4 linked regions of the Callithrix jacchus genome follow. The protein of the gene in region 2 purifies or fractionates together with the protein of the main gene of each other region. This does not show direct contact. Links are inferred from orthologs where the notes say so. Each region holds a gene or a part of one and is shown on either strand. Other genes may lie near its edges.

What was found.
Region 1: the proteins of HDAC4 (region 2) and HIF1A purify together in Homo sapiens (affinity purification with western blotting; 4 studies listed by BioGRID and IntAct, with this or other methods). This does not show direct contact. The link is inferred for Callithrix jacchus from reciprocal best matches to the Homo sapiens genes HDAC4 and HIF1A.
Region 3: the proteins of HDAC4 (region 2) and RUNX2 purify together in Homo sapiens (affinity purification with western blotting; 3 studies listed by BioGRID). This does not show direct contact. The link is inferred for Callithrix jacchus from reciprocal best matches to the Homo sapiens genes HDAC4 and RUNX2.
Region 4: the proteins of HDAC4 (region 2) and TBL1XR1 purify together in Homo sapiens (affinity purification with mass spectrometry; 3 studies listed by BioGRID and IntAct, with this or other methods). This does not show direct contact. The link is inferred for Callithrix jacchus from reciprocal best matches to the Homo sapiens genes HDAC4 and TBL1XR1.

The regions. Positions count from the first base shown.
Region 1 is NC_133509.1:96,404,795-96,410,244, forward strand, and holds the start of HIF1A (hypoxia-inducible factor 1-alpha), read left to right. Parts: upstream 1-2,139; 5' UTR 2,140-2,436; coding exon 2,437-2,471; intron 2,472-5,450.
Region 2 is NC_133507.1:160,448,913-160,453,866, reverse strand, and holds part of HDAC4 (histone deacetylase 4), read left to right. Parts: intron 1-761; coding exon 762-878; intron 879-960; coding exon 961-1,159; intron 1,160-4,954. UniProt on the Homo sapiens protein: Responsible for the deacetylation of lysine residues on the N-terminal part of the core histones (H2A, H2B, H3 and H4).
Region 3 is NC_133505.1:53,755,735-53,761,245, forward strand, and holds the start of RUNX2 (runt-related transcription factor 2), read left to right. Parts: upstream 1-2,283; 5' UTR 2,284-2,285; coding exon of another isoform or gene 2,286-2,374; coding exon 2,375-2,747; intron 2,748-5,511. UniProt on the Homo sapiens protein: Transcription factor involved in osteoblastic differentiation and skeletal morphogenesis. Essential for the maturation of osteoblasts and both intramembranous and endochondral ossification.
Region 4 is NC_133518.1:9,854,564-9,859,517, forward strand, and holds part of TBL1XR1 (F-box-like/WD repeat-containing protein TBL1XR1), read left to right. Parts: intron 1-855; coding exon 856-1,001; intron 1,002-3,620; coding exon 3,621-3,843; intron 3,844-4,718; coding exon 4,719-4,851; intron 4,852-4,954. UniProt on the Homo sapiens protein: F-box-like protein involved in the recruitment of the ubiquitin/19S proteasome complex to nuclear receptor-regulated transcription units. Plays an essential role in transcription activation mediated by nuclear receptors.

The sequences.
Region 1 (5,450 bases), on a different chromosome or scaffold from region 2:
AGTAATTACTGTTAACAGAGGCATAAATTTGCGGGCAATAATAATAATAGACCAGGCATGGTGGCTCATGCCTGTAATCCCTGTACTTTGGGAAGCCAAGGCAAGCAGATCACCTGAGATAAGGAGTTCAAGGCCAGCCAGGCCAACATGATGAAACCTTGTCTCTACTAAAAATATAAAAATTATCTGGGTGTGGTGGTGGGCACCTGTCATCCCAGCTCCTTTGGAGGCTGAGGCCAGAGAATCACTTGAACCTGGGAGCAGAGTTGCAGTGAGCTGAGATTGCACCACTGCACTCCAGCCTGGGGGACAGAGCAAGACTCCATCTCAAAATAATAATAATAATAATGCCACCAACAATACTAACATTTACTGAGTGCTTACTATGCACCAGATATTGTTCTAAGTGTATACATATTATCTCATCTAACCATCCATAATACTGTGGTACAGACACTTTTATATCCATTTTACAAATAAGTAAACTGAGGTATAGAGATATTAAATGACTTGCCAGTAAGTTTCAAAGCCTGTGTATAAGCTCACTCTTGATTCTGGAGACAGTGATTCTTAACATAGTATCTTCAGAATGTTAAACTAAAAGATTTGTAATTTACAGAATTAGTTTTTCCACAATTAAAAAAGAAATTATGAGTAATTATTTTGAGTTCTCTTCAGGCATTTCCCTTAGTTCTTTTCAAGATCTAATACATATCATTTAGTGTTGTAGATCTGATAAACAAAAGTAGCACAAAGATCAAAGTTTTTTTAGAGATGGAGTCTCGTTAGGTTGCCTAAGCTGGAAACTCCCTAGGCTGGCACTACCAGGCTCAAGGAATCCTCCAGCCTCACCCCGCTCAGTAGCTGGAAACATCTTGTCAGCTAGGTCAACATTTAATTATAACTTTATAGGTCTACTGACCAGTTAAAAAGAGGTGCTGTATACATTAGTTGTTGTCAGAGTTTGATGTCTTTATATAGGCCATTGTTTTTACATGCTAATACAATTGAAAGCCAATACGGATATCTCTGTTTACATCCCAAAGCTAGGTTTTAACAAGAAACTCATAAGGCAAAGGTGAGAAGTAAAATAATTTAGTATCAAGTGGAGATATATTTGCAACGTTCCTTGGTTGAGCTCAAAATATATTCTTTTTTTCTTTTAAAAGACTGACAGGCTTGAAGCTTATGCCTCCAAAGACAAAAGTGATTATTTAGTAGCTTGCAAAGTTGCCAAAGGCCATTTTTTTCTACTGAATTTGGTTTATACTCTTATTAAGGTCATTTATACCTATTTGTAACTGCTTAACATAGTTTCAGATTTTAAGATTTCCCTGCAACTTCATTTCCCCTGAGGTTTACAGCAAGAGAAGTTAGTTTTTATTTTTAATTAAACTCCACCACAGAAAAACTTAGTGGACAAGGAGAGTTCCCCTGTGTTCCATGGCAGAGTGCGGTGGGTGACACTGACCCGTGGTTAGGTAACCTGACAAGGAAAGACCCGTTGTAACACATCTGAACAATGAGACCAATGGAAGGGCTTGCTGCCACGAGGCGAAGTCTGCTTTTTTGAACTAGGAACTCAATCAGAGTTGGGCGGCAATCCTGCCCAGCACTGCGGCGGAAGAGAAAGAGAGCCGGAGCCTTACATTACTGCACCAAGAGTATGAAAATATGATGCAGGTTTGGGACCCGGCAACTGAAATCCCTTCTCAGCAGCGCCTCCCAAAGCTGGCCACCGCCTTCCTTAGGAGAAAGCCCAGAGTCCCCAGACCCGGGCTGAGCCGCGCCCCCAGCTCTTTTCTCTTTCCTCCGCAGCTAAACACAGACGAGCACGTGAGCGGGGCAGCGCGTCCCAGCTGTGCCTCAGCTGACCGCCTCCTGATTGGCTGAGAGCGACGTGGGCTGGGGTGGGGACTGGCCGCCTGCGTCGCTCGCCATTGGCTTTCGGGGAACCCGCCTCCACCTCAGGTGAGGCGGGCCTGCGGGAGCAAGCGCCGGCCCGAGCAGGCGGCGGGCGCGCTCCCGCCCGCTCTCCCCTCTCCGTGCGCCGGAGCGCGCTTCCGCCTCCTCTCCCCTCCCCGCGCGCCGGAGCGCGCCTCCGCCCTTGCCCGCCCCCTGCCGCTGCTTCAGCTTCTCAGTGCACAGAGCTGCCTCGTCTGAGGGGACGCGAGGATCACCCTCGTCGTCGCTTCGGCCACTGCGTCGGGCTGGGCCCTGACAAGCCGCCCGAGGAAAGAGGCTCGGAGTCTGGCCCGGACCCCGGCGATTGCCGCCCACTTCTCTTCCTTCTGGTCTCACGAGCGGTTTCCCGCCTCGCACCTCCACCTCTGGACTTGCCTTTCCTTCTCTCTCCGCGTGTGGAGGGAGCCAGCGCTTAGGCCGGAGAGAGCCGGGGGGCTGCCCGCCGTGAAGGCACGCGGGGACCGATTCACCATGGAGGGCGCCAGCGGCGCGAACGACAAGAAAAAGTAAGCCTATTCCCTCGGCCGGCCGCCTTCGCCGGCGCCCCTGCCCGCCGGCCCGCCCTGGGCTCCCGGGCCAGCGTCGGCGTTCCTGGGGGTGGGGGGGGGCAGCCTTTTTTGTTTCTGCCGCTTCTCCTCTCCCCTCTCTTTCCCCCAACCTCGCCGGCCAGGCTCCCCCGCTGTCCACGTCGCCATCTTGTCGTGGGGGGTGGGAGACGCCTCTAAAGTGCTTTCAGGGGCCGGGGTCTGAGCCCTGCTCGCCCTCCCCGCCGGCCGTGGGGGCCTCGCGCCGCCCACCTACCCGCCTCAAAAACCCAGCCTGCTCTGTGGCCCCATCCGGAGGGGACTTTACCCAGCCCGAAAACCCCGAGAAGAGAAATGAGCTGCAGCTCGGTCGTCGCGGTTTGCACCCGGAGCTTCCGCTCCTTCCCGCCCCCATCCCCTCCGGTTCCATTGAAAACTCGGCCCTGGGGCGGACCCTGCACGCTGGTCCTGTCTTCCCTGTGGGCTCCCGGCCCTGAGTTCCGGACCGACGGACTCGCGTGGTCGGATGCGATCTTGTCCTGTGGTTGTCCAGCCGTCGCGGGTGTCTTTGCCTTTGTGCATTAAGGGATTTGCCGCGATGGCTTTAAGATGCGAACTTTTTAGTTTGCACGTGCAGGTTTTGTTTTAATCGCCTTGAAAAACTTGCCTAGACCGAGAGTCAGAGTAACGGGAATTTAGGGAAATAGCAACATTTTAAAGAGAACTTCAGAATTGAATACTTGTGTTCATATCACCTGTCACGGCAACGCAGATATTATAAATGAATATATGCCTCATTAATTCTTGAAATAGTGAAAATGTAGGGGCTGATTAAATGTAGGCAGTTTTAGTGATATTGAAGAAAAAGCGTATGATGAGTTAATGAAATACGGCACTAAAATGATGCAAAAATTTTGGAATTGTCTCATTTTTCTGAAATCGAAGTATATTAAAGGAAAACCTTTAACATATATCCAAAGTAAATAATCACTCGGTTAGAACTGAATCCGAGTTTTATAAATCACCTTGAAGTTGTAGTCTAAGGGGTACATTAGATATTAAAAATTGTGATTTGTACCAGTGGTGTTAAGAGCTAACTTCCCCATCCCTCAACACACACACACAATTTTGTCCACTTTGGTATTTAAACTTTTAAGGAAATTATTTTAAGGAATTGAAGATTTAGAGTAAGAGTTTTGGTTAGTAGACTGGCTTTGCTGGCAAATCCTTCCACTCTCTGGGAGAGAGATTAATTTCCCTAATCAGTATCAGCAGAAGATAAACTTGTTTATATTCTTGTTGTTTTGTAGATCCCTTCTCCTGGTCCCTCTTCAGTAGAATGTTAAATTTTCAGTTTGTGTACACCAGAGAAGGCACTAATAAAATTCAAAAAGTGAGCGAACAGGTCTAGATTAATTCCAACAGTTACCAGGAATTAATTGCAGTTTATTTTGCGGAGGTGATTACAGTGCTTTTGATGAAATGATGAGCTGCTATATTGTAAACCTAAGGCAGATTGCCTCTCTATAGTGCCAATTTTCTGTCCTTATTATATATTGAACCATACTTAATACAATGCATTAAATTATGCACCAATCACTTCCTTTTTATATACAGTATCGAACTCATTTCTTTGCCATTCATCAGTTCAGAATGTCAGAAGCAGCTTTGAAATAAGTGAATAAATAAATTAGCTACTGTTCCTCAGCCCCAATTCTAAATGAGTTTCTTAGATTTTCCTCAGCCCATGTGTTACTTTCAAAATGTTCTCACTTAAAAAGTTAGAACCTTGGATAGAATGGACTCACATTTCTTAATATAGAAGATCTTGATATAACCGAGAAATTAAGTTAAACACTTAATAAATGGTGGTTACTCAACACTTTTAGATGCTGTTTATAACAGATGACCTTTTCTAACTAATTTACAGTTTTTTGAAAGATAACGGAGATTGGGGGATGGGGATTTTCTTCATGCAGTTTTTTTTTTTTTTTTTTTTTTTTTTCGTTTGAAATGAGCTCCCAGTGTTGGAGTTTGGGAAACAAATTTGTCTTTTTAAGAGAAGGTCTAGAAAACTCAAAACCTGGAGAACTGGAAGAAATCAGAATAGAAAATGGGTATAGTTATAATATTAGAGATTTAACATAGGACATTTCATGTGGGTTCCTTGTTATAGGGGCTGGACTTTAATAGAACGTGTATTTTGATTTTTAGATTTGTAAAGGAATGTCAAGAAAGTAATGATTCTGTTTCAGGCTTCAGGCCAGACCACTTCAAAGTTTTGCGAAACAAGTAGTTACTGAATCATTAAAGTAAAATTTCTGACAATAGATATTCCTTAATTTCCTTCTTTAATTTTGGACGTTAAAAGTCAAGAGGCTCTCTCGTTTATTAGCAAACTTTTCTCCTTAGAATTCTACTTTGATTTTCCTTTTGTTTGAGGAAGCAGCATATAATGATTAAGAGCATAGGATCTGGAGTCAGATACCTCGAGTTAAGGGTCCCAGCCCTTCACTGGTGAGCTTGAGCAAGTTACTGAATGCCTCTGAGCTGTTTTCCTCCTTTTGAAATGATAAGAATAGCAGCCATCTGAGCAGTTATTGTAAAGATTAAATGAGATAATGCATATAAAGCAGTTAGTTGCCTGGAATAGGAGTCTTGGTGACATTGTGTACTTGAAAATAGATGTTGCTTGTTAAAATTGTGATTTAAACTTCCACAACTCTTAGAACTCTTTTTGCTAGGCCTTCCAGCTATTAACTTTAGTTTCTTTTCTGCATCTTCATGCATCTTTCCTATCTTCTGAAAGTGAAAAGACTAACATTGGATCCAGAGTTTTAAAGGACTTTTTCCCTGCTAAAATGGGCAAAAGAGTACATCCAGCCGGGCGCAGTGGCTCATGCCTGTAATCCCAGAACTTTGGGAGGCCGAGGCCGGTGGATCACGAGGTCAAAATATCGA
Region 2 (4,954 bases):
GGCTGGTTTTTAGGATTTTCCTGACCGTCCTCCCCTTCATGAGCTCTGCAGTCGCCGGTCCTCACCGCGGGCACTGCTCACTGTCGGCTGGTCTGCAAGCTGTCTGTGCCCGCCCTCATCTGCCCACACTCGGCCCATGTTGTCTTCATTGCTGGCCTGTCATACAAGCAGCTGTTTTATGGTTTTCTTTTTAATGTTTGTGGGTACACAATAGATGGATATGTTTATAGGGTCCATGAGATGTTTTGGTGCGGGCATGCAATGCGTGGTAGTCATGTCATACAAAGTGTGGGTGTCCATCCTCTCAAGCCTGTATCCTTTGTGTGACAAACAACCCAAGCATGCCCTTTTAGTTGTTTTTAAACGTACAATTACACTTATTTTTGTTTTGATTTCTGCCTTTGGTGTTAGGTCTGGAAAGACGTCCCAACTACAAAATGAGGTCAACTATGTTACCCTAGGTTTTCTCCGGATTACTCTGTGGTAAATAATCAAATTGAATAAAAATCAACGAGCCGACGCTGGAAAAGTGACAGAAGAACTCGTATCGGGGGGGAGGACACGAGCCCTGAATTGTGCTTCCGTGCTGGGCGCGCTTAGCTCTCACCCGTCAGCGCCGTCTCACTTGTTCCACCACGTTTGTGCTCCACATCAGAACGCAGCGCAGGCCACCACAGGCGTTTTCACAGCTGCTGTTCTTGGTGTGTACTGCTGATGTTTGGCCATGACCAACTGACCGTCCTCATGTGTTCTGTCCCCAGACGAGTTTGGCGCACCGACTTGTGGCGCGAGAGGGCTCAGCCGCTCCACTTCCCCTGTACACGTCGCCCTCCCTGCCCAACATCACGCTGGGCCTGCCTGCCACCGGCCCTTCTGCTGTAAGTCACCGCCTGGGTCCCTGTGGCGTGGGGTGGCGGTGGTGGTTCCTTCCGCCTGAGCATCCCCGGCTGTGCTTTCCAGGGCGCGGCAGGCCAGCAGGATGCTGAGAGACTCGCCCTCCCCACCCTCCAGCAGAGGCTCTCCCTTTTCCCGGGCACCCACCTCACTCCCTACCTGAGCACCTCGCCCTTGGAGCGGGATGGAGGGGCAGCGCACAGCCCTCTTCTGCAGCACATGGTCTTACTGGAGCAGCCCCCGGCACAAGCGCCCCTTGTCACAGGTGAGCACAGGTGGACTCGGCTGCTGCCAGGCTCTGAGGCTGCCCCCGCTCTGGATGGTGCCCGGCCCTCCCCTGCCTTTGGAGGAGACAGAAAGACACGCCCGTCCCACCCCCACAGTTCCCAAACACACATCCCCGTCATGTCATATAGCCACCGTGGCTGCAATGCAAATCCACACCCCCCTCCCAGAGTCAGGTAGACGGAGCGAAAACAGAAGTCACTGCCCCTTTCTCACCTCTCGGGAGAGGTCGCTCACTGGCTCTTGCGATTTGCGTTTCTCACTGGGCCACGCTGAGCCGGTGCTGGAAGCCCTGAACCGACTACTGTGGTCAATTTCCATTAATGGAACATTTTTCAAAGGTGCCCCATCTGGGGAGTGGCCTGAGCTCGGAAATTTTTCTATATTTAGAAAAATACAATTCAGAGAAAAATAAGAACTTTCTTATGAAGTTGCATCAGCAGTGTGAAAGCGTCACTCCAGAAATGAGGGTGCACCAGCTGGCACGGGGGCTCACGCCTGTCATCCCAGCACTTCGGGAGGCCGAGGCAGGTGGATCACCTGAGGTCAGGAGTTCGAGACCAGCCTGGCCAACATGGTGAAACCCCATCCCTACTACAAATACAGAAATCAGTTGGGCATGGTGGCAGGTGCCTGTAATCTTAGCTACTCATGAGGCTGAGGTAGGAGAATCGCTTGAACTGGAGAGGTGGAGGTTGCAATTGGCCGAGATCGTGCCACTGCACTCCAGCCCGGGCGACAGAGCAAGACTCCGTCTCAGAAGAAGTGAGGGAGCACCCACCCCCGTGCTGTGTGGGACATCGTTGTACATCTTCATTTCTTTACATCCGGCTTCCTGGAAATCTCTTGTTCCCAGTGAAAGGCTAAAATAATCTCAGAGCTGCACCCATCAAACTCTGGCAGTGAACCTGGTGGAAACTCAGGAGCTTGGTGTGTTGTAGGAGGCTGAGCTGCAGGGTGCAAGGAGCTGGGGGCTGGCTTGGGCAGGCCTGGGCCTCTGGTGTGACCGGCCTGGGGGATTTTGGTGTTCTCTTGCTTTGTGCTGCCCGTGTGTTGACACAGAGAGGATTGCTCCTTATTCCTTCTTCACCCGAAGCCACAAGGGGCCACCTTTGTTTTATGCCTGGGCCCTTTTGTTTGATTCTCCAGAAGCTCAAATTCGTGCCCCTGCCCTGTTCACAGCAAAGGAGCCCGTGGTGTAACCAGGGAGGGGCAGCCCTCACAGCACCTCTCCAAGCTCCGGCCACTGTGGTAGGCACGGGGATCTGTCTGGAGGAATTTATCTGAGATGGTGTCTGAGTCTCCTAGATGCTCCAGACAGCTAACCTGAGGTGGGGTTTCTGAGTTTCTCCTCTCATATCTTCTAAAAATGTGAAATATGCCTGATCCTTCAGGATCCCTGGGATTCGCTTTATCAGAGGTGTTTCTATCACTCATTTTTCCTTCTTCAGATCGGTTTGTCATACGTGGTCAGGTCACATGCATAGTCTTGTGTATCGGGTTCTGGGCAAACAGCCTTGTTTCGTAGAAGCTGAATGACGGCTTTGCGTGGATCTCACCTCTCCAAGACGCGTGCTGAGCTCGGCATTGCTTCCTCCCTGCGCAGTCGTCTTGTCCTCAAAGGTGCAGCTTGCTCACTGGCATGGGGACTGTCCATGGTGCCCTCCCAGGCTCTGTGGCGCCAGGGGGCCCATGCTCGGCTGCCCAGCTTGTTCTGGCCTTGCCTTACACCTGTGCCCAGCCAGCCCCTCCTGTCCTGCCCACCACCTCTGAAACTCCGCAAGCCCTGTGTCTCTTGCAGGGCCCCCCCAGGTTGCCAGCAGCTCGTCCCACCAGTCCCCTGGCTGGGAGCCTCCAAGCCAGTGTCTCACGTGCAGCATCGTGCGGCCCACAGGCGCTCCGTCCCAGCCTTCTCCCGCTCTATGACCTGGGAAGGCTCTGTCAGCCTCATTCTTCCATCTGGGAAGTGGGGGCACCAAGGGGTCCACCCCTGCGTGCCTGATGAGGGTTAAGTGGGCTGTGCAGTCACATGCCCTGCAGGTATGGTGGTGGTGTTGTGATCATTACCTTGTTCTTAACCTGCCACCTCCCACACTCGCTCATGCCCCCAGCCAGCCCCTGTCCATCCTTCTCAGTGCCTCAGGGGTGCTCCCCCAGCCCAGCCATAAGCAGGGCCCTGATTTGGAACCCACTGGGACTGCCCCATCCTCTCATGGAAAGAAGCCTCCTGCACAGGTTCCTGCCCCTCCAGTCTGTCCTCCTGCAGCCAGCAGACTCTCCTGGAAGGCTGGCGGCCCCCACGCTGCCTGGAGCAGTACCGGCCAGGTCAGGAGCCGCCAGCCATGAGGAGCTGTGAAACTGAAGTAAAAAGATAAAGTCAGAATTGGAATTCACTTTCTCAGTCCCACGTGGACCACATCCGGTGCACGGCTGCTGCACTGGATGTCCTCCCTGTCACAGCAGCCCTGGCGGGGTGGCGCAGGCCTGGAGTGAAGACCCAGCGTGTCAGCAGGAAGCCCAGCCTTGCTCCAGGAGCCTCATCGCTCTTCCCCAATCCGGCATGGCAGCTGGGCGGTGGGCTCAACGCTGGACCAGGCCACAGCCCGCAGTCCTCAGCCCGCTCCCAGCGCCGGGGCCTTTTCCCAGTCGGCTGTGGTTCCACCACCCTCGTCCCAGGCCTCAGTTCGTGCCCCCATCCTGCCTCATCAGCTCCTTCCCCGGACCACGCTGACTCTTGGTTTCTGGGTGCATGCAGTCCTTTCCCACAGTTCTTGGCCAGCTTGTGCCTGACTTGGTCTCCTGGACAGCATGCCTGTGTTTTCCTAGCCCACCTTCCCGCTGGTAATCGTGGTGCACAGGCCTATAGGATATCAGAGCTGGGACAAACCTCCAGTCACAAACACTGAAACAGAGGCCTCTGTGGGTGGTCACTGGTGGAGACCAGAGGGGTGAGCCATGGTCCCGGGTCTCCTGGAGTTGCTCCTACACGCCACACCCTCCAGTCGGCCCTTTCCGCCCTGCTCCGGGCAGCCCCTTGCCGCTGTCACAGGCTCAGTGTGACTCTCCTATGTCCCTGCTTATGTGCTGCTCCAGTGCGGCACTCCGCAGACCGTCACTGTGGACTCACACTCTGCAGAGTGGCCGCTGCATTTGGAGATTAGTCTCTGCATAAGTAGCCGAGGCAGGGAGTGGAGCTCAGGAGCCCCCCGTGGGTGAGAAGGGAAGTGCGTATGTGGAGCCCTGTGCTGCTGCTTGTAGGGTGCAGAACTGTGGGCCTCATCATGGCCTGGGTGGCCCAGCTGATTCCTCTATGATGCCCATGTGGCTGAGAAGCAAGATGTTGAGAACCATGTAACCTGCTGTCAGGACCCAAGAGACAGGGCCTCTCAAGACCCAGGAGGAGCAGACATTTGGAGAAGAAGGCTGGAGACCCGGGCTGTGCAGCAGGTGGGCATGGGGAAGGCTTCCTGGACAAGCGGCGTCAGAGCTGAGATCTCACTAGGAGCCTGCAGGCGGAGAGGCGGGAGAAAGGCCCAGGTCGAGGGAGGCGTGTGCCTGCTGGAGGTGGCCTTGTCACAGATCTTTCTAGCCTCCTGGCCACACTCAGAGCATGCCACCAGTGTCTTAAGGCTACTGCTTTCCTGAGCTGGCCGCAGAGGTCCACTGTCCCACTGTCACAGGCTGAGAGTGGAGGGTGCCTCTCGCTTCCGTGTTAGTAATTACATGCCACCGTTTAGGTCTGACCTCCCCCGCAAACAGCGAGCCCCAGGAAGAG
Region 3 (5,511 bases), on a different chromosome or scaffold from region 2:
CCTGGTCCAAAAATTACATGCAAGAGGATTACCTGCAAAAAGAGAACAAGCAATTAAAAGACAAATAGATGTTGAAAATTACTCAAATTCTTATCAGGTCAATTTGGAGGGCCAAAGTATTCATACAGAAAATTTTAAGGAAGAAAATATTCAGCAAAATGTTGGGTTTGTAAGATGTTTCAGTGAATACCAATGTAGAAACTATAAACTTATTCCAAAAAAAGAAAATCATTGGTTTATCATACAACAACAGCTACCTACATATTTTCATTAACTGATTCTGCTATTATATGTACACATGAAACTGTCTGGCAATCCCACAAACTATATGGACAAAACCCTCCTTTTGTTTACTTTGGATACTAATTACAGATACAGATAATATGGGTACAACTTATTTATAAAAGAGAAAACATAATTTTCCTCTCCTTTGCATGAATAACTGCATGTTAAAAGAAAGCTTTTGCCTTTCGATGGTAAACCTGATTATACATACAATAAGGCATGAAAAATCTGTAGTTAAAACACTAAAATATATTTTTGGTATTTTGTCACTAAAAGTTTATTCTGAAAAAGGTCTGGACATTTGAAAAATAAAGGACTAGAATCATTCCCATGCCCTACCAGTGTTTTTTTTTGGGAAAATCAAATTTTCTCTAAAGGAACTTATGAAGATATTTGTACAGTTATCATGATCTAATATGAATCAAAAGTAGTAGAAAGAACGCAGGGATATTCTAGTTCAAACACCCTCCTATCTCCCCACAGCCCTTACCTCCTTGTACATTCCAAATAATGTTTTGTAATTCACTGTCTCCGCCTACCCCATTTACTTTATGCCACTCCTAGTTACTATCACACTAGGAAGAAGTCTAACATGCAGATTTAGAGTGGCATGGATAAATGGCAAAAAATGCCTAGAAAATTGGTCTGTTCGCCTTTATAATTTTTGTTGAAAAATACTCCATCGCTCCTAACTGATGAAAACAGGAAGCTCTATTCATAAATATAAAATCCACTGCCTATAATATATAATCATCCTAATAAGAAAATGAGTTCTATACATACTTCTCCAAAGGGGCAAAAAAGGAGATAGTTTCCCAAAGATGTTTCCAATTTTCTTCTGAATCAGAATTAGCAAATCGAGACGACTAACATACTCTGTCTGTGGGCATTATTCCTTACTACACACAGGATTTTGTAATTTATTTCAAAGGTTTAGAAACAAAAAAATATAGCTTCTGTTAACCCACTCTATTCTAAGCTCACAGAATCTAAAGTGAATATCTACATTATAACATAAGCATTTTACTTTATAGAAGATCTGCTATCAGACACTTTGTTAACATCCAAACTACTTAAAGAATGATATAAAATGAATACGCTTCCATGAAAGATAAAAATTATTACAATCATAAAGAAAACTAAGATTCATCCAATAAACTATATTACAATTCCTGTCATTCACTTTTTTAAGATCTTCCAACTAGGCATGAGATAACGGTATACATGAAAGATTACATTTAATCGTTATTGTAAAGGCCGCCATCTAAAATATTGATAATAAACTAGACAGCTGTAATTTAAAATTTGTAAAAAAAAAAATGCCTAGACTAACACTTTCATGACAGCCAATTACAGTCAAGCCTAGCAAGCAGTTTGCAACCAGACCTTAAGGTAAACTTTTTTTTTTACAATGAGTTACAGATTCACAAGTTTAAGAAGACAAGAAAAAGGAAAACAGAAGGAATCCAGCCACCCAGCAAATATGAAGCAGACCCCAGAATGTGATACAGTCCAAAGATGTAAATTATTGTAAATCATCACTGTTGTTCAGAATTTCACACAGACTCTTGAGCCAATTTTGTTCATTTATCCACAGACACAATAATGAACTAAAAAGAGGAGGCAAAAAGGCAGGGGTTGGGGGGGAAGAGTAGAAAGGAAAGTCCTTAACTGCAGAACTCTGCTCTACAAATGCTTAACCTTACAGGAGTTTGGGCTCCTTCAGCATTTGTATTCTATCCAAATCCTCATGAGTCACAAAAATTAAAAAGCTATATCCTTCTGGATGCCAGGAAAGGCCTTACCACAAGCCTTTTGTGAGAGAGAGAGAGAGAGAAAGAGAGAGAAAGAAAGAGCAAGGGGGAAAAGCCACAGTGGTAGGCAGTCCCACTTTACTTTGAGTACTGTGAGGTCACAAACCACATGATTCTGCCTCTCCAGTAATAGTGCTTGCAAAAAAAAAAGGAGTTTTAAAGCTTTTGCTTTTTTGGATTGTGTGAATGCTTCACTCGCCTCACAAACAACCACAGAACCACAAGTGCGGTGCAAACTTTCTCCAGGAGGACAGCAAGAAGTCTCTGGTTTTTAAATGGTTAATCTCCGCAGGTCACTACCAGCCACCGAGACCAACAGAGTCAGTGAGTGCTCTCTAACCACAGTCTATGCAGTAATAGTAGGTCCTTCAAATATTTGCTCATTCTCTTTTTGTTTTGTTTCTTTGCTTTTCACATGTTACCAGCTACATAATTTCTTGACAGAAAAAAATAAATATAAAGTCTATGTACTCCAGGCATACTGTAAAACTAAAACAAAGTTTGGGTATGGTTTGTATTTTCAGTTTAAGTCTGCAAGCAGTATTTACAACAGAGGGTACAAGTTCTATCTGAAAAAAAAAGGAGGGACTATGGCATCAAACAGCCTCTTCAGCACAGTGACACCATGTCAGCAAAACTTCTTTTGGGGTAAGTGTTATCATATTTTTAAATCCTGTAAGATATGAACCTGTTAAACATAAAGGTATGATTCTTAAACTGCTAGCTTTTCCAAGTAATATATTAAAGATCTTAATAATGCTATCTTGTTGCATTAAGAATTGAAAACGAAATTTCCGTATCTATTTGCATTTGGTATCTGTAATGTTATCTAATTTTCAAAGTAATGACTTGAAATAGACAAAATTAAATTATCTCACATTGATCAAAATGTTTTCTAGAGTTACAGAAGTGAGGATATGAAAAGAGTAAAAGAAACAGCTTAATACTCTCATTAACCCTCACCAGAAGAAAAATCAGATTCTAAATTAATCAAAGCATTATAAATGATTGACTCCGGCAGCTCCCAATATTTGAGCAAACTTCAAAAAGGAAACAATTTTACAAAATAACAGACCACAGAATTATCTCAACATTATGGTCTACCATGTAAAACACAGAAATAAACCTGTAATACTATTAACATTTTAACCAGCTCAACTAAAAGAAATCTACTTATAAATTTAAACTATATCCTATCTAAATGTTTGTTTCTAAACAACCATATATAAGTATACATTCAGCTGAAACAAAATTATGATAAGCACATCATAGCCAATTTTAAAAGATCTTTATAGTTTCCCAGGATATTAAAGTTCATGGAAGTATTTTAAAACTTATATGCAACTGCATTTTTCTACATAATTTTAATTTTACATCCACACACTGTTATCCATAGTAGACCTTGTTATAAACACACAGCAAACACTGAAACGTCTAAGATTCTTTTAATCACATTCTTGGACCTACCAAAATGAATACTGCTGTTTAGTCTCATAAAAAATAAAGCTCCATAAGGATATCCCATATGATTTTTAAAAGCCACAACCATTAAACCATACTGGCCTTTAAAAGAAGCAGGCATAATATAGTCCCTAGTATTTAATTTCAACTTAGTGTTGATATAGATATGCAAATGACTTTAACATTCATCAGCTAATGTATTATAGTAAAATATTTAAACACACTTACAAGATTCTCTTTATGACGTCCAACATGTTCCAATACAAGGCAAGTTTTTAAAATTTTTTCTCATATCCTTTAAATTTTTTTGCTGTGTACATCTATATTAACTTTGCTTTTAACTTACAACTAATGACTGGAGTTTCCTTTACTCCTCCTACTTCACGCACTTTAACTGGCTACTACTAGAGGATCAGTCTTAGTTTAGGTCAAAGATAAAAAACTTCAAAGGAGAAAAAATGCTTTCTCTTATAGGGTAATGAAAATGTACAGTATTTTACAAAAAAAATGTAAAATTGCTGTAGTGACTCCCTCAATAACTGTAAGTGGGCCCCCTAAGTTATAATATATACAATATAATAATCCAGATTAATTTAAAAATTTAATGATGCGTACTAAGTATCATTCTAAAAATTCCTATATTAAGGAAGCAGGACATAAATACAGCTAGACTACATTATAACACATAGCATAATTATACCTAATACATTGAAACTTTTGTTACTACTACCAAAGAGATAAAAGGATAAAGAATGGTAAAGACTACTGTTACACAGAGGGATCATTTGAAACAGGGATAACAGAGGTATCAGGGAGGGATAACAGAGACAGTTAAGTTACTCTTAAACAATATCACTGTGTTTAACTACATTTTAAATACATTTTAAAAACTGGATCAGGAACAAAAGTTTCAAAAAATTCTTCAGTATTAGAAGTATAGCTACACAAAGAATCTGTTAAAACTGTCACAAAGAATATATTAAAATGCTTCTTATTCTATCATAACAGGGATCTTATATTTCTGTAACATTCTTAATAACTATTCTACATTAAAATTTCCAAAACTTGACCGAATTCTAAGTAAGGCACAGTAGTGAACTTCTTTTTAACATTACAACCAATTCTTCCTCTTCTGAAAAGTGGGTTTCACCTTCCCTTTTCCCAGCTCCCAAACAGTATCTTAAGCCCTCAATTGAGAACTTAACATGAACCCACTACCTCAGACTAATTACAGGTGAGTAGTAAACATCATGTATAGGTTATCATCACATTGCAAACATTTCCCCATTCTATAATCTATGTGAAGTCTAAAACCTCACTTCAGGCTTTAGATTATTATATAATGATTATCACAACGAACTAATGAGATGTCATACGTATGTGCTCTAATTTTGTAAAATAGTTAAAGTTTAGGCTTTTCCTAGGTGAGAAACAAATCACATATTAACAACTGGCTCACCTCAAATACAATGAGTGAGTGTGTGTGTGTATGTGTGTGTGCGTGTGTGTGTGTGTGTAGGAGAATATGTCTCAGTGTCCTTGATCCCTCAGCATACTTCACCTTGAGTTAAAAATTTTCAATCTGTACAGCTCAAAATCTGTCCATTATTTATCATAAATATAGCTTGCTGAAAAATCACAGATGTGACCCATGGAGCATTTTATAATTAATAACTTATGAAAATTTATCAGCTGACTGATTACTTAAAATCTTTGTAACTGCTTGAACAAGATGTGTGAACACTGCTTTCCAAAACAGCAGCTGTGGTCCATATCAATAATAATATTTTTATGGTTTTGAGATTTAGTAGTGACAATGTTTTATAACTTGGTTCTAAAATACAGAGCTAAATTCCAAAATCTAGAGCGCAGGATTACAAAGTTAGGAACAAACACAGAAAAATCACTCTAATACATATCAAAAGTGAAAAATATCAAAGTAATTCCCAAA
Region 4 (4,954 bases), on a different chromosome or scaffold from region 2:
AGTTAAAAGTAAATAATTGCGAGTGGGAACCTGTAAACCAGATACTCATTTGCTAGCTCTGGATTTCATATAGATGAGTTATTACTCACTGGCAAAGGACTGGTATTGTTTAAAGCACTTAATTCGTACATAAAATGGGATTTAAGCGTTGTAATTATTTAATATTTAAATTTATATTTGTTTGCCTTTTATTTCCTAAGTAGTTTCAAAGAGCTGCAAAATACTGAATTTATCAGATGTTTGACAGTTTATATGTAGAAATTTAAATACCTCAGATTTTACCTGAGTACTAGATTGCTTTAAAGACCTTACTGAATTGTAACGACATAGTAGATAACAGTTACATGAAGTAAATTCTGAAAATCATTCAGAATGAGTGCCTATTTAAAGCATATTAAGTGCAATGAAAGAAAATTTGAAATAAAGTTCCTTAGTTCTGGATGTAAAAAATTTAAAATATACTATAGAAATATTAAATATTACTGAATCTATCTTGACCACATTTATCTTAAACAGTTGAATCACATGATTTCCAAAGGCTTGTTTTTTTTTCCTTTTAAGTTTGATGCTTTTTGTTAAGAAAAGTTGTATACCATGACTACATTTTAGAAAACTTGAAGTTATATAATCCAAGTATTTACTAGAAATTTAAAAGTATACATTAAGTAACAGAGAAGTAAAATATGTAACACACACACACACACACACACACACACTCTAGACCTTAGCGTACTTGTCTGGGATTTTAAATGGGTAGAGTGGGATGTAGAAAGACTATAGTGATCTTTTTGTGTGTGTTATTTAGCATGTTGCCACTAGGAAAATAAATTCTCATACTTTTCCTTTTGCTTTTAGGGTTTTCTCATTCAGCATTTACCTTTGGTATAGAAAGCCATATCAGTCAGTCCAATATAAATGGTGCACTTGTCCCACCTGCTGCATTGATTTCCATCATCCAGAAAGGTCTACAGTATGTAGAAGCAGAAGTTAGCATTAATGAGGTAAGGAAGACTTATTTCAAATCCTCATTTTACTCCTAAATATGTCTCTACGTCTGTTGTCTTGCTTGCTTCTTCAGCATTCTGACTTTAACTTCACTGGGTTAACAAAAATGCAGACAGTTCATTGCTAATGTAGATTGCACAGGTGTTAGGGTCATTATCTGTAGTTTATTTGCCTTAATCTGATTTTATAAGTAAACACTAAGAAATTTTTTATTTTTATTTTTATGTTTTTGAAATGGAATCTCCCTCTGTCACCCAGGCTGGAGTGCAGTGAAGTGGAGTCTCAGCTCACTGCAACCTCCACCTCCCAGGATCAAGCAATTCTTGTGCCTTAGCCTCTCGAGTAGCTGGGATTACAGGCATGTGCCACCGCATCCGGCTAATTTTTGTATTTTTAGTAAAGATGGGGTTTTTACCATGTCGGCCAGGCTTGTCTTGAACTCCTGACCTCAGGTGATCTGCCCGCCTCCGCCTCCCAAAGTGTTGGGAATACAGGCGTTAGCCACTGCGACTGGCCAGAAATAATTTTTATTAACACAACAGCATCGTGCTGTGGAATGCTGAGATCGTAATTACTGGACTGAAAATGGTAAACTCTCCATGTTATTTGAATATACCCTTATTTAAAGCAATTTATAATTGAAGCCAACTCTGGATGGTACTGCTTATCTAAGGACTACATGTAAATAGTTTGGCTCAGGTGTCAGCATACTGTGACCCATTAGCCAAACCCTGCTCTTGGCTTTTGTAAATAAAGCTTGATTGGAACATAACCACACTCATTTACATATTGTCTATGGCTACTTATGGCAGAATAGTAGTTGCAAAAGAGACGTTTTGGCCTGCAAAGCCTAAATTAATACTTAATGTCTAGTCTTTTACAGAAGAAGATTGTAAGCCCCTGATTTGTCTGTTTTAAAGTGTGTGTGGGGTGGGGTGGTGGGTCCTCGCTTTGTTACCCAGGCTGGAGTGCAGTGGCATGATCTTAGGTCACTGCAGCCTCCGCCTCTTGGGTTCAATTCTCCTGCCTCAGCCTCCTGAGCAGCTGGGATTACAGGCACCCGCCACCACGCCTGGCTAATTTTTGTAGAAACGGGGTTTCCCCATGTTGACCAGGCTGATCTTGACTCCTAACCTCAGGTAATCTGCCCACCTCGGCCTCCCAAAGTACTGGGATTACAAGTGTGAGCCACCATGCCCAGCCTTGTTTAAAATTTTTATGTGAAGAGAGAAGCTTTCCCCCTTTTACTTCAGAGACGAACATGTTCCCCTTTTGCAAGTATTCTTTTTTTTTTTTTTTTCCTTTGGAGACAGAGTCTCACTCTGTCCCCAGGCTGGAGTGCAGTGGCGCAATCTTGACTCACTGCAACCTCCATCTCCCAGGTTCAAGCGATTCTCCTGCCTCAGCCTCCCAAGTAGCTGGAATTACAGGCATGCACCACCAAGCCCAGCTAATTTTTGTATTTTTAGTAGAGATGGGGTTTCACCATGTTGGCCAGGCTGGTCTCAAACTCTTGACCTCATGATCCACCCGCCTCGGTCTCCCCAAGTGCCGGGATTACAGGCATGAGCCACTGTGCCTGGCTAGAATTTTTTAAACTGAAATATCTATGATTTCTGTATCAATGATTATTACTAGAATTAGGAATTATACTAAAATTTATTTTACTTTGTTTCTGCAGCTCTTTGAGTGAAAATCCACTAACACAAAACTAAATTTTGCCTTAAAATTTGTGTAAATTTGACATAGCTTTTATTCCACAGTATCTGTGTTGGTTTTAATACCTTTTAAAAATTATTTATATATTAAAATACTTTATCCTGTTCCTCAAATACTACATTACAGAGGACAGTTCAGAAGGATGTGCTGTGTTTTTGCAGCTCACAGAACCCTGCAAACCACTGTAGATTGTCACTGGTACATGTTTACGGTTTAACTGAACCGGACTTCACATGCGCATGTTCCTAGCTCATTTGTACTGTTTCCGTTTCCAACTTGCTCTGTGTTTGTGTCTCTTCTTGTGCTTACTTGGAGAACTCCTTATTAGGAACTTCCTAATATCAATAGGTGGAGCTTTGGAAATTCCAACAACTCCCTAGTATTAAGGAGCACTGTAGCCCAGGAAGTCTGTTTCTGCTTTAATATCCTAATCAAATCACAGGAAACTTTGTAGCCCACAACGTTTTTAGTTTTATAAGAGAGGTATTTACTATAATGATGTGCCGCCAGGCCTCTGATCATTACATCAGCTATCCCGTGTTGTTGTTGCTTTCACTAACAGAATTTTGGAATCTAAGTAATACACCTTTTTATCAGCTGGGCTACATCTTATCCCTTTCATTTTCAGCAGTGGCTTCTTTTATATTTCAGTTCTGTCCGTACAGCATTTAATGACAGTATGAACTAAATGAAAAGGAAAATCTAAGCAGCCATTTGCAGCTGGCTTCTTGCAGTTTCTTTCTTCCCCCCAGACTGCTGCTTATATGAGTTCAGAAAGTTCTTACAAATGTTTTTCTTGGAATGAAGATTTTCATTTCATTTCTGATTTTGTATAAATACGAATAACTTTAAACACTGCCTTTGCCTTTTCTTCTCTCACACTCTTCCACATCCAGGATGGTACCTTGTTTGATGGCCGACCAATAGAGTCTCTGTCCCTGATAGATGCCGTGATGCCTGATGTAGTACAAACGAGACAACAAGCTTACAGAGATAAGCTCGCACAGCAACAGGCGGCAGCTGCTGCAGCTGCTGCCGCTGCGGCCAACCAGCAAGGATCTGCAAAAAATGGAGAAAACACAGCGAACGGGGAGGAGAACGGAGCACACACTATAGCAAGTGAGCCAGACAAGAATGTGTTTGTTTATTTTTTAAACTTTTGTTTTAGGTTCAGGGGTGCACGTGCAGGTTTGTCGCATGGGAGAACTGGTGTCACAGGGTTTGTTGTACAGATGATTTCATCACCAGGTACTAAGCCTAGTGTCCAATAGTTATTTTTTCTGATTCTCTTCTTCCTCCCTCCTCCACCCTCAGGAAGGTCCCAGGAGACAAGAATTTTTAAAAATTTATTTTCAGAGGAAATATTTTGCTTTACCAGAATGTCCCATCTTCTAGGCTGAAGTAATTTCATCAGTTGTTTGCACCAGCTTGTTTCCCTACCTTGTACCACACAGTTCAGATTTTTTATTCCTAAAGCTCCAGAAAGCTAGATTTACTTTTATTTTCTTTTAAAAATATTTAGAAACCCTTTTCCCATTTTTAAGTGAATTTTTGCATCTACATCTGATTCCTAAATAAAATTTGTAAAACTAGTTATCAACAAATATCATTAGAGTTCTGATATTGAGATAAAAGGCAACTCATGTTATATAAATGATATCAGCAACCCCTACTGGCAGAAACTCAGAATCGTACTGCTACACGTTATATTTAATTCAATCCATTTTACTGTTTTATCCAAGTTGAGGTCTAATCATTTAACGTCTTATTCCCATGCCACCCCTCTTAAAAAAAAAAAAACAACTATGGTCAATACTTAAAGATAGGAATTTATTTTCCATGTGACAAAGACTGTGCAGTCATGTTCAGCTTAACTTGATGTAATTAAAAATGTTACACTGTGTAATAAAGGAAGGTATTTGCTAGTTAAGAATTCACCCCACCCCAAGTTGTAATACTGCTCTGGAAATGCTCACTTGTTTCTCATGATGCAGATAATCATACTGATATGATGGAAGTGGATGGGGATGTTGAAATCCCTCCTAATAAAGCAGTTGTGTTGCGGGGCCACGAATCTGAAGTTTTCATCTGTGCCTGGAACCCTGTTAGTGATCTCCTAGCATCAGGGTATGTTTCTCAAAGTGATACTAAAATGCCTTTTAAAAGTATCTTACTGAACATTTTATAAACATATGCAATATTCAGGTTTTTGTTGTTCCTTCTTTGTGGC